Drosophila melanogaster: one gene and its partners. The protein of the gene in region 1 interacts with the protein of each later gene in a pairwise test. Each region holds a gene or a part of one and is shown in the gene's direction. Other genes may lie near its edges.

Region 1 (4,000 bases):
ATGAAAAGGGATTAAACAAACAAGTTATTATATTTAATGTTAGTTGAACTACTAAAAGTAATGATTGAAAGCACGGATCGAAGGAATGGAGATAGGAGTTCCCGCGTGGGAGTGCGAGTAGTTTTTAGTTGGGCGCGTCGCCCAATCATTATGATTACAATTACAATTACGATTATGATATATGGAATACTAAACCTATAACAACAAGTTATTACCCCACTATTAAAGTTAACAAGCAACAACAACAACAACCCATACATATACATATATACGACTAGGCACAACTCTAAAATTAATTATAACCCTTAACTGTGCTTGTGTTGAAAACAACAAACATTAAGAACAAGTTTAAGCCGTAACGAAATAAAAGAAAGTGAAACAATTAACGAGAAATCCCCAAGCGCCACAAGCAACAACATATCTGCTTTAAATTTTACAAAAAAGGAAGAGAAATCTAAAAAAAAGTATATTAAACACGAGTCAAAGTTTAATAATTTAGTAAGAAAACAATACACAGACAAACTGACAGACACACGACCCACACATTATGCTTCCTTTTAAATGCAACATTTTATACATTTAATTATCGAGAATTAAATGCTTAAAATACAATTTTAATTTAATTTAACAAACTGTAACTGTACACGAATAAACGGAAAATGTAAAACTGTTTGTTTAACCATTTAAAGACAGAACTTGGTTTTATTTAACCTAATTTTATTGATTCACGATCATCGCAGCAAAGTGCACATTTTGAATACACTTAGAATGCAGGGAACAATTGAAAATTGAAAATGAAATTATCATTGATATGCATGTATTTTGCTTTCACACTGAAAATAATTGTTTTCGAAGTCGCAAACACACACTATCACACGTCTATAATTATGTAGTTGAGTATCCGTGTTAGTTTTTGGGTGTTTTTGGATTTTTGGTGATGTGTATAGAGCGCAGTATATAGAATGCATATAGAGATATATATTATTGTACGATTATTGACTAATATATAACGGATATGTATGTGTAGTACGTGAAAGGCAAGTTTATGGAGACAATTCACTTGTGTTGCAATATTAATGAACAAACGAAATAATTTACTTGTAAGTTGCGTAGTGCAAGCCGTGAGAATAGAGGTAACTTTCTCCACAACCCACACTCACTGATCGACAGACACATACCCATTAACCTTAATGATTAAACGCTGGGACAGCGGCAAAAATGTTTCCTAGGAGAAAAATTAACAGAAGCTGAAGAAAACGCTTGGAATGCCCCAATTAACGTAAACATTAAAAGCAACAAACAGTAACAATACTAAATAGAAACAATAATGTACTATAAATCAGATACAATACAACACTATATATACCTAAAATATATATGCCTATACGACAGAAATTGGACAACAAATGAAATATATATATATATAGTATATATTGTACAAGTTACGAGTAAAATGTAATTAAAATTTATGAAGTAGTAAGCACTAAACAAAACAAATAAATGAGCAGCAAAAACGCGCAGCATAAGCATAAAACCGGATTTTACAAGAAACTGAGTAACCCTGAGTAGAATTATATTTTTTGGTTAAGGATATTATTATGATTTCGTATCTCTGGGATACCCCGAAAACTATCGCTTCGTTTTCCCATCTCCAAAAGGATAAGTCGTTTAGGTAGCGCGAATTCCGCCCGATCTGCCTGGAAACCCACCCCTAAATGACCTTCGCACTAGGTAGCATCGGACTACTGACCGTGGCAACTGCGTGAATTCATTAGTATTCCAAGTACCACGATCGAGAACAGACCGCAGATGACGTCCGCAAGCGATACAGGTAAGGAATTGGCTAAAAACGAAAAAAAAAAAAACAATACAACTGAGCCTATTAAGACGATCGTCCTTCAACTTTTTAGAACCCACTGCAGTAACGCTGCTCCAGCTGAATGACGATGTCCTGGCTTTGATCATCCGCCAGCTGGACACGTACCAGCAGTTCCAGATTAGCAGGTTGAACAGGCGCTTGGCGGGCGTAGTGCACATGCTCTGGGAGACCCGTGTTCGCAACGTTGTCCTGCAGGACGAGATGTTCGGACGCTCGGGAGCCAATTCCCGACAGTTTGTGGCTTTCATCTTGGCCCTGGCTCCGCACATGCAGCACCTGAGTTGCAAGCAGTTGGATGTCCGAAGACTGCGACTGCTCAGTAACCACACGCTGGAGAGGATTCACTCTTTCGAGTGGCTGGGCAATGTGTATAGACGGAGACGCGTTCGCTTCGTGGATGAGGATGTGCGAATGCTGCAGAGGGTATTTCCCAATCTAAAAAGCCTCAAACTTAGAGGCTGCCAAATTACCGGAAAATACCTATGCGACCTGGATGAGCTTACCGATCTCCGCCTGCATGATTGCCATTTTCTGGAATCGCAACACTTTAGGGACATCTTCCGGCAGCTGCGACTACGCAAATTTGACATAATGGAGGACTGTGACGAGGTGAACTGCTGTGATCTGGCGGATCTGCAGCTGTGTCCCACACTGGAGCATATCAAGATTGCGGATTACCACGTGTGTATGGAGTCGGATATTACGCAGCAACTACTGACATTGCCAAACCTGCGAAAGCTGTCGATCTATTCCAGGAACTTTGTCTTTGATGTCCTATCGAGGATAGTTAGTCCCACAAGTCCTCCCGGCGATGGCCGACAAATTGAGGCCTTTAGTTTCAGTGGAGTTTTGCACGACTATGGCCGGTTCTTCAGGGAGCTGGGAAATCTTAGTCACTTGACGCGACTGGAGCTGCACAGCCAGCCAGAGGAAGAGGAGGAGAAGGAGGAGGGCGTCCAGGTGCAGTGCCTGGGGGATCAGATACTGCGGCAGCTAGCCAGTCAACTGGGTGAGCTAACCGAACTCCATTTGTGTGGCTATCAGTTGGAGAGTCCTTTGGGCCTGCTGGAATTCGTGATCAATTGTCGACAGCTGAGAGTCCTCGACATCACTCGAACCTTCTGCCATGGAGAATCCTTCGTCTGGAGGTGTATTGCCATTTTGGCCAAGCAAAGCTGGCGCATTCGCCCTCTAGAGCTGTGGATCCGGCATAGCGATATCAATCCGGAAATAGTTCAAAGTTCGCGCTGCGTTGATAACATAAGGCTGATAAAGGTGGATGCAAAACAGATTGGACCCAATACGGACTACACATCTGGCGTACTCAAGTTTAGCTTTGTGCGGTAAACCGCTGCCCCATGAGTGGGATATGCTCCAACTGATCAAGCTCCAAAATGAAAAGGTTTTAAACTGAAATATAGTTAAGTGTATACATTTATCAACTGCTTACCAAATAAAAAGATGTAAATATACATATTTGTAAAGCGATTTTTCAATGCATCATTGTTTTTACTGCCCTTAGGGATAAAAAAAATTAAATTCAAGTTGTAGTACACTTTAAAATTCAAACACCCAAGTCCTTGCAATCAGCGTCAATCCAAATGAAATTCGAGTTCAGAGCTAAAACCTCGTCGACAAGCCAAACTTTGGATCGATGCCCACGAGGATGACCAAATGCGCCAGCCCTTCCGCCGAGCCTCCGTCTACCTCCACCTGCTGTTAATAACCGAGGCCGTGATCGGACTGCTGATCCTGGTGGTGACCGCCTACTACCACACCGTGCTCACCGGCTATCTATCGGATATTGAGTGCCGCCTGGTCTACGGCTATCTGTTTGGGATCTACGTGTTTGGCGCCCAGGTGGTGGTGACCTTTCTCTGCAGCATTGCCATGTGGCGGCGAATTTGGCGGCGTCGCTGCACGCCGAACATTCGCCTCTTGCTATCCGTGTGGGCCTTCTACTCCTGCGTAATCATTGCCTCCGGTTTCGGGTGCGTTTGGAATCTTTACCGGGGTGTCGATGTCCTCGAGAATGCGGCGGACACCTCGCTGACCCGCGGCATCGACATGTACTACTCGTGTCCCGAGTGGAAACTCCTGTGGGACGGACTGCAGTGGCAC
Region 2 (4,395 bases), on another chromosome or scaffold:
GACCATTCTGCACGACAGTCTGCAAGGATGAACAGCATTACAAGTATATTCAAAACGATGTGCACACTTTTTCACTCAAATACTAATACGATCTTAGATATACCAATTCCACCAAACCCAATCAACCCGGCAATTGTCAGCTGTTTTGGAATTTGAATCACTGACAGGTATAAGCTCTTTTATTACATCTGGCAACGCCGCTGTTGTCTGCGAACACGACAAAGAGCGAGATGGACATAAGCTTTCAGGACAAGACTAGGACAAAGGCAAACGTCCTGCACCCATACATACACACTCTCTCACAGGATTGGATGACTTGCAATAATCCTCAATCCGCAAACCATATGTTCCGGCATTTTGCCAATATATTCGCTCCGTTGAAAATGGCCCTAATTTAGTTTTTATTCCTACGGCTTCGCGTTTGAAAGAGAGAGAGAGAGACCGAGAAAGAGGGGGCTTGTAACTGATGTCGTCGACAGCCATCCCTCTCGCTCGCACTTATTCCAAGCCCTTTTAGCCCATGCACACACACGTTTAACAAAAATCAATTAACTTGAAAGCACATGTAAAAAAAAGTATTGATCCACAAAAAACAAAAGGCACTTCGGTAATCCTGGAATACACACACTTACTGCCGAAAATATTTAAAATGAATGGGTACGCGTATATATTTATATGCTGGTGAACAAAAGGCGAGCATAACAAAAATGTCTTATCGATTTGCATGCGCAGCAGACAGTAATTGCAAATCTTGTATTTTCTTGAGTCTGTGCAACAACTGAAATACCTTTCTGGGCATAAACTATCATAAACACAAGTGGGTGGTGCTGGGAAACATCGCTGGAATTGAATATTTGTTTGTTGGTCGATTTGTTCTGAATGGAAACGAATGTCGTTTGCAAATTGCTCTCTCAGCTGTTTACAAACGCATACCACATAACGCAGGTGAGAGAGAGAGGGAGGCATATGCGCAGTGAGAATGGAAGATGAAGGGTTGCCAAGTGCGCAAAGGCTTGCAAATTAAGTACACTTGTGTGCGGGGTAACCGAAAAACGGGTGTTTACAATAAATTTCGCTGGGTGGATGTAGCTTTGTAATTTGAGTTCGCCAATTTTTTTTGTTGTTAACAGCATTTCGAAGCGGTTGCCAACCCTAGACGCTGGCTGGTTGCATGGTAACGAAAAATGGCGGCGCCTGTTACACACACTCACACACACATGCACGCACAGTCTGCTGTGTTTATGCACTTCATGCTGTTCCGATTTTTTTTTTGCACTTTTTCGATTTGTTGTCTGCATTTACCTTAAATGAATTTATTAACTAAGGCGATATTGTGCCTCTCGCTCAATCTCGCAAAACGATGCTTTGTCTGCTGCTTCTCTGTGCGTGTGTCCGTCTCTTTCCACGGCTTTTCGTCGAGACTCACATATACAAACGGCGACACACTGGATTGGAGCTGGACTCCGTTTTGGATGGCTTGGCTTTGGCTGCGTACCCAAAATAAATCGCGCTTGCAGTCCCAAATCATTTTAGTTCTTGACGCCTTTGTTCCACAAAAACTTCCAACCGCCGTCCATGGCTCGTGCTTTCTCTTTCGCTCGCGAGACGCTCCAAAAGTCGCGAGTATGGGAAGAGAATGTATCCCTCGCTCTTTCACGCCTAGAAGCGGCTGTAGCACACACAAGCACACGTAAACCCAGCCGTATGCATATACATATATTCCCTCTACTAGCGAGACGTGTGTACGTGCGTATGTATGTATGCTTTTTTCACTTCTTTCTCCTCTGCGTTCTTTGCACCAAGTGTCGCTGTTGCTATTTGCTACCGCCGCTCCTCTTGACGAATAAGTCGGGACTTGTATCAGCTCTAATTCGGACTTAGTTTACAAAATGCGGCTGCTTTTTTTCCGCGATACTCGGATTAGTGATGTAAAAAGACGTTGATGCTTCGACCACTGAAGTCAGTGCGATATGTATCGATAATTGAATGCCATCGATTGCTACGATTAAAACTGCCACCGCAGTTAGCGGAGACGCTCACCATTCTCTATTCGCCATTTGAAAGTATCGGTGTAATTTGTTTTCAGAGAAATTAATTTCCGTTTACTGTGCAATTCGGTGTGAAAGTGTTCAGATTTATCAATGCGTATTCTGCTTTCGACTTCGCCACCAATCTGTGCTGCAAGTTACCATTACCAGGTCCACCTGGTTCCCGCCAGTTTTCTTTCATTGTGGCTAGTTGTTGTTCGTGCCTTCGATAAAGACGTTTAGAGGTGTTTTTAGAGTTTCGCCATCTGGTCACTATAGCCGTTTCGTTTTTTACGTGAGTATTGTGAATTTGGTGTGTTGATTTATATCTCAGTTGGAGCCTGCGTGGAAATAGTGTCAGTACGTTTAAAGGCATCATCGTAAGGTTAGTCGGAAAACAAATAAAAAGCCTACAAATAGCAAGCAAGAACGCTTTCGCAACCACAAGAAAAACGAACATACGCACGCATCCATCTGTGGTAGAGTCGGCTTGTGTGGGGGTGAGTGGATGTGTGGGTGAGCATTTCTGGAAAGTGCCGTTCTCTATGTTTCGATTCTACTTATCCCTTCATCACCATTTCATCGTTGAATCATCACGAAAGAAACATCGAAAGTGCACAATCGTTTGTTATCTTTGTACGAAAACAACGGTGATTTCCACACAGGCATAACCTGCAAGAGTAATACGATACAAATTTTGATCTGATATGACCTCATTTTAGTCGGTTTGAATTTTAAAGAGAGCGACTCTGCAAACTGCAGGGATATGAACATACAAAATTCACAAATGATTGTTTGCATCCTAGTTGCTTATATTCATTTACACGCATGCTTATATGCTTACATCTGTTATCAATAATTGACGACTTGGTGCATGCGAAGCAAACGCATTGAAATGACTATTGGGATCCACACACTGTTAAAAAACACACTGATTGCACTGCCACACATTTCTCAACTAGAACCTAATGTTTTATACTGAACTTAACTGCAGGAAAGCCCAAAATGCCCAGCATCAAGTTGCAATCTTCGGATGAGGAGATCTTTGACACGGATATCCAGATCGCCAAGTGCTCCGGCACTATCAAGACCATGCTGGAGGACTGCGGCATGGAGGACGATGAGAATGCCATTGTGCCGTTGCCCAATGTGAATTCGACGATTCTTCGCAAGGTGCTTACCTGGGCTCACTACCACAAGGACGACCCCCAGCCAACGGAGGATGATGAGAGCAAGGAGAAGCGCACAGACGACATTATCTCATGGGATGCAGATTTCCTAAAAGTCGACCAGGGCACACTGTTTGAGCTGATATTGGCAGCGAACTATCTGGACATTAAGGGCCTTCTGGAGCTCACCTGCAAGACTGTTGCAAACATGATTAAGGGAAAGACTCCCGAGGAAATACGCAAGACCTTCAACATTAAGAAGGACTTTTCGCCCGCCGAGGAGGAGCAGGTGCGCAAGGAGAACGAGTGGTGCGAGGAGAAGTAAAGCGCGGCATTTCGCGGGACCAACATTAAGTTGAAACAGCTAGGGGATTCGGGAACGAATTGGATTTGCAGCATTGCAACTTTACTTAGTTGCTACTTTCATTTACATTTTTTTTTATTTTTAACCCCAGCAGAGACTCGATTTAAATTGTGTATAAATGATCTGTTGCTGATTTGATTCGCGGGGTTCATTTTTTGTCGTAAATATATCTCATATACATACATATGCGAGATTGTAACACTCTCTTTAACCTATTGGAGTAACACTTGATTTCACTTTAATAAATATAACTACCCAACACAAAGACACAGCCTATTTTGTGGGCTTCCCGGAGGGGTTAGGGTCCAAGGACTTCTCAAATTAAGAAGTGCTCTTTATTCGTTATCTTGTGTTTAGAAACGTTTGCAAGCGTTTGAAATGGATACGCATGCCATTTATGGTCCAGTCGGTAAAATTTTACGTGTTCCCAAGAAGGTACATATATATCTTAGATTATCTTATCTATAGAAACTACATTCATAAGATCACGCTTTCGGCGAATAGCGAGTAATACTGTAGCTGCCACTTTGCCACTTAGTGTGCAATTGAAATGCGCGCCAACGCATGTTCTCATATGCGGAGCGTTTAGCAGCCCTTAAAAAGCTTTTCATGTTGCTTTTAAAAAGCTACGACGGGTGTGGAAATTAGATTTGTGACGCTTTATATATCTTTTTTTTATATCGTCTGGGGTACAGCATGGTTTTAGGATTTTAGAAGAAAGCAGTAATTTTGTAAGAATCGAAGAACGGGGGGATATTTATAATTTTCATATTAACCTTGTCTTTGTTTGCTTTTGAAATTATGAATACTTCGAAAGATAATTATCTTGTGCGCA
Region 3 (2,809 bases), on another chromosome or scaffold:
ATTTGTTCAACTTTGGGAAAAACAAGAGAGAATGCTATAGTCGAGTTCCCCGACTATCAGATACCCGTTACTCAGAAAAATCGATAGATATAAAAAAAAATTATAAAAATTTTAAAAAATTATTCCAAAGTGTGGGCGTGACCGGTTGGGCGGTTTTAGGGCGTTCGAGTGGGTGTGGCAAAATTTTTGTTTTTATCAATAGAAATTTACGAGACTAATAAAAATTTGAAATAATATCAACACGTTTTTCGAAAGTGTGGGCGTGGCAGTTTTGTGCGGTTTGTGGGCGTGGCAAATTAAATAAAAATTAAAAATACAAAAGTAATATAAAATAAGTCTCCTCCTTGGGTTCACATTTAAAGGAATTATTGCGAATAATTCAAATATTTGCGGATATAATTATTCAGAAAATTTCTCTCAGTGTACATTCGCAGTTTGATATCTTTCACGCAAGTATAGGTTTAGGTCCGATAGAATTTATCAATATGTTTACTTCAGCAGAAACTTCTCCCTCTGTATTCATGTCTTCTAACCCTAAAATTATTCTTGTCCACATGCTCACTTTTTTTAATTAATATATCTTTTAAGCATTTAAATTAAATACAAATCTTAGGGTTTTGGTTTATGTGCGGCTGCTGTCAATCGATGGGAAGGGGTGATCCCCGGGACGGCTCGAAAAGGGTGCTCCACAAGACGGCATGACTCGAGTTCATTTTTTTGCTGACCGCCTAATAGGTTAGAGCCTTTGCGTCAACTGGCACACAAAAAAAAAAACTTAAATCGCGTTCCGTTTGGCGGCTAGGAAAACTCACTCGAATAATGGTATTTTCGCACTTTGTTTTTGCTATCCAAAACGGACACTTTTTTGGCCGAATTGCATCCTCATCCTCGTATTAAGTACGTAATTAAGTACTAAAGCTAGCAAATCGAAATTCTTCTTTGTATCTTGGATTTAATATTAATATATTATTTTGGAACTCGGTTCAAAATACAGTTTTACGGTAACTGAAAATTTTGATTCTGTTAAGTGTATATATTTTATGGAAAGCAAGTTACACATAATTGGAGTGTTTCATAAAACAATAATAATACAGTAAAAGGGAATGTTAGAATCGCTAATGAGTATGTAACAGGTAGAAAGTGCCTTCTGTCCGTCTGTTTTTCAAATGAAAAAATATATATTTAATTTAAAGTTTTTTTGAAAAATTAGAGCAAGTAATGTAAGCCCACGTGCTATTTTCCAGTTCCCTCTGTTAAAAATATTTTTTACGGGGTTCTTTCCGGAACTATTATTTTGAAATTTTTTGATTGAGCACTTACCCAACATTCATATAGGTTTTAAAATTCATATTACACTTTTTTTTATTACACTTTTAAGGTCTGATATGATAAATAAAACACGATTCGCGATTCTCAATAAAAAAGCTAAAGCGAATCTACAGTTCTTAATGTTAAGACTTCCAATTTCTAGTGTGTACACACTTGACGACAGTGATTCCGCAGTGATCACATCTGGTCACTCTGTTCTCTATTCTTTTTTCTTTGAACTTTCGAATCGTCCAGTTGGCACGTGCTCTATCAATCATCCCATCTTGTTCTTCTGAATCTCTTTGAACGTAGTTTGGCAAATAGAAAGGCAAGGCAAACCGAAAATGGATGCTCCCACCATCAAGCTTGAGTCCTCGGATGGGATGATCTTTTCAACGGAAGTCCGAGCCGCCAAGCTCTCCGAAACCATCAAGACCATGTTGGAGGTCTCTGCCGTGGAGAACGACGAGAATGCCATTGTGCCGCTGCCCAAGGTGAACGCGTTCATCCTATCCAAGATTCTGACCTGGATCTATCACCACAAGGACGATGATGCCCATGGAGCGGAGGGCGTGGAGTTGAGCCCGCAAAGCCCACATGACATCTCAGCCTGGGACGCCAACTTTATTAACGTCGATCAACCCACCTTGTTCGAAATCATACTGGCCGCCAACTATCTGGAGATCAAGGGCCTAGTGGATCTCTGTTGCAAGACGGTGGCCAATATGATTAGGGGAAAGACTCCCGAGGAGATCCGCCACACGTTCAACATCCCGGACGAAATACCGAGCAGGACGGCCCAGTTGGGCGAAGACCTGTGAGGCACAGTCTCTTTCGGAGCAAATCCGGTTGGGACACCTGGAACCTTCCTTTGTTGAGAACTTATTTGTTTCACCAGAATAAATATGATATTACGAGTATTTTTGAAAGCATATCTATTGTATTTTATCAACATATTCAGTTTACAGTTTACTTTGGCAACAAGAACACATAAAACATAACTTTTTAAATCGTTTCATGTTCGCTTGGGCTAAAGGAGTGCTCTGGCTCTATTCCCAGTTGATTGCCACCAAGCCGCCCGGGGATACAAGCACACACCACACACCACACCACACACCGACCCACTCCACTCCATAGCACCCCAATCCCGGAATCCTGGTGCTCCTTAAGCCGGTTCCTGATTTGGCAGCCACGCTAATTTCCAAAAGCCTTGGCCGTTGGCGCTTATGAGCTCTGCATCCATGAAGTTCGCATTACGTATGTAAAATAGTGCAGAAAACCCCCAAATGAACCCAAGCCCAGGGTCCCAATCCTCGTATTCCAAACCCTTGGACACAACTTACGCACTTTACATACCGTTGCGGGGTGGGGAGGCGGGTGGTGGGTGGCAGGAGGCTGGGCAATGTCCTTTATTGTAAGTTAAGTTGCTGCCCACACATCTGTGTGTGAATGTGGGAGGGGGCGGCCTACGGCTTGCCACTCGCCTTTCTTCGTCCGTTTC

Evidence for each region.
Region 2: the proteins of CG14937 (region 1) and SkpA interact in a two-hybrid assay, tested with the Drosophila melanogaster proteins (2 studies listed by BioGRID).
Region 3: the proteins of CG14937 (region 1) and SkpC interact in a two-hybrid assay, tested with the Drosophila melanogaster proteins (2 studies listed by BioGRID).

The regions. Positions count from the first base shown.
Region 1 is NT_033779.5:11,791,857-11,795,856, reverse strand, and holds CG14937 (uncharacterized protein), read left to right. Parts: upstream 1-1,770; 5' UTR 1,771-1,809; coding exon 1,810-1,831; intron 1,832-1,910; coding exon 1,911-3,226; 3' UTR 3,227-3,445; downstream 3,446-4,000. Other genes in the region: Tsp33B (tetraspanin 33B), read left to right, coding at 3,554-4,000.
Region 2 is NC_004354.4:654,078-658,472, forward strand, and holds SkpA (SKP1-related A), read left to right. Parts: upstream 1-2,036; 5' UTR 2,037-2,707; exon of another isoform or gene 2,708-3,021; 5' UTR 3,022-3,032; coding exon 3,033-3,521; 3' UTR 3,522-3,822; downstream 3,823-4,395. Other genes in the region: Hmt4-20 (histone methyltransferase 4-20), read right to left, coding at 1-6.
Region 3 is NC_004354.4:19,814,486-19,817,294, forward strand, and holds SkpC (SKP1-related C), read left to right. Parts: upstream 1-1,586; 5' UTR 1,587-1,652; coding exon 1,653-2,129; 3' UTR 2,130-2,215; downstream 2,216-2,809.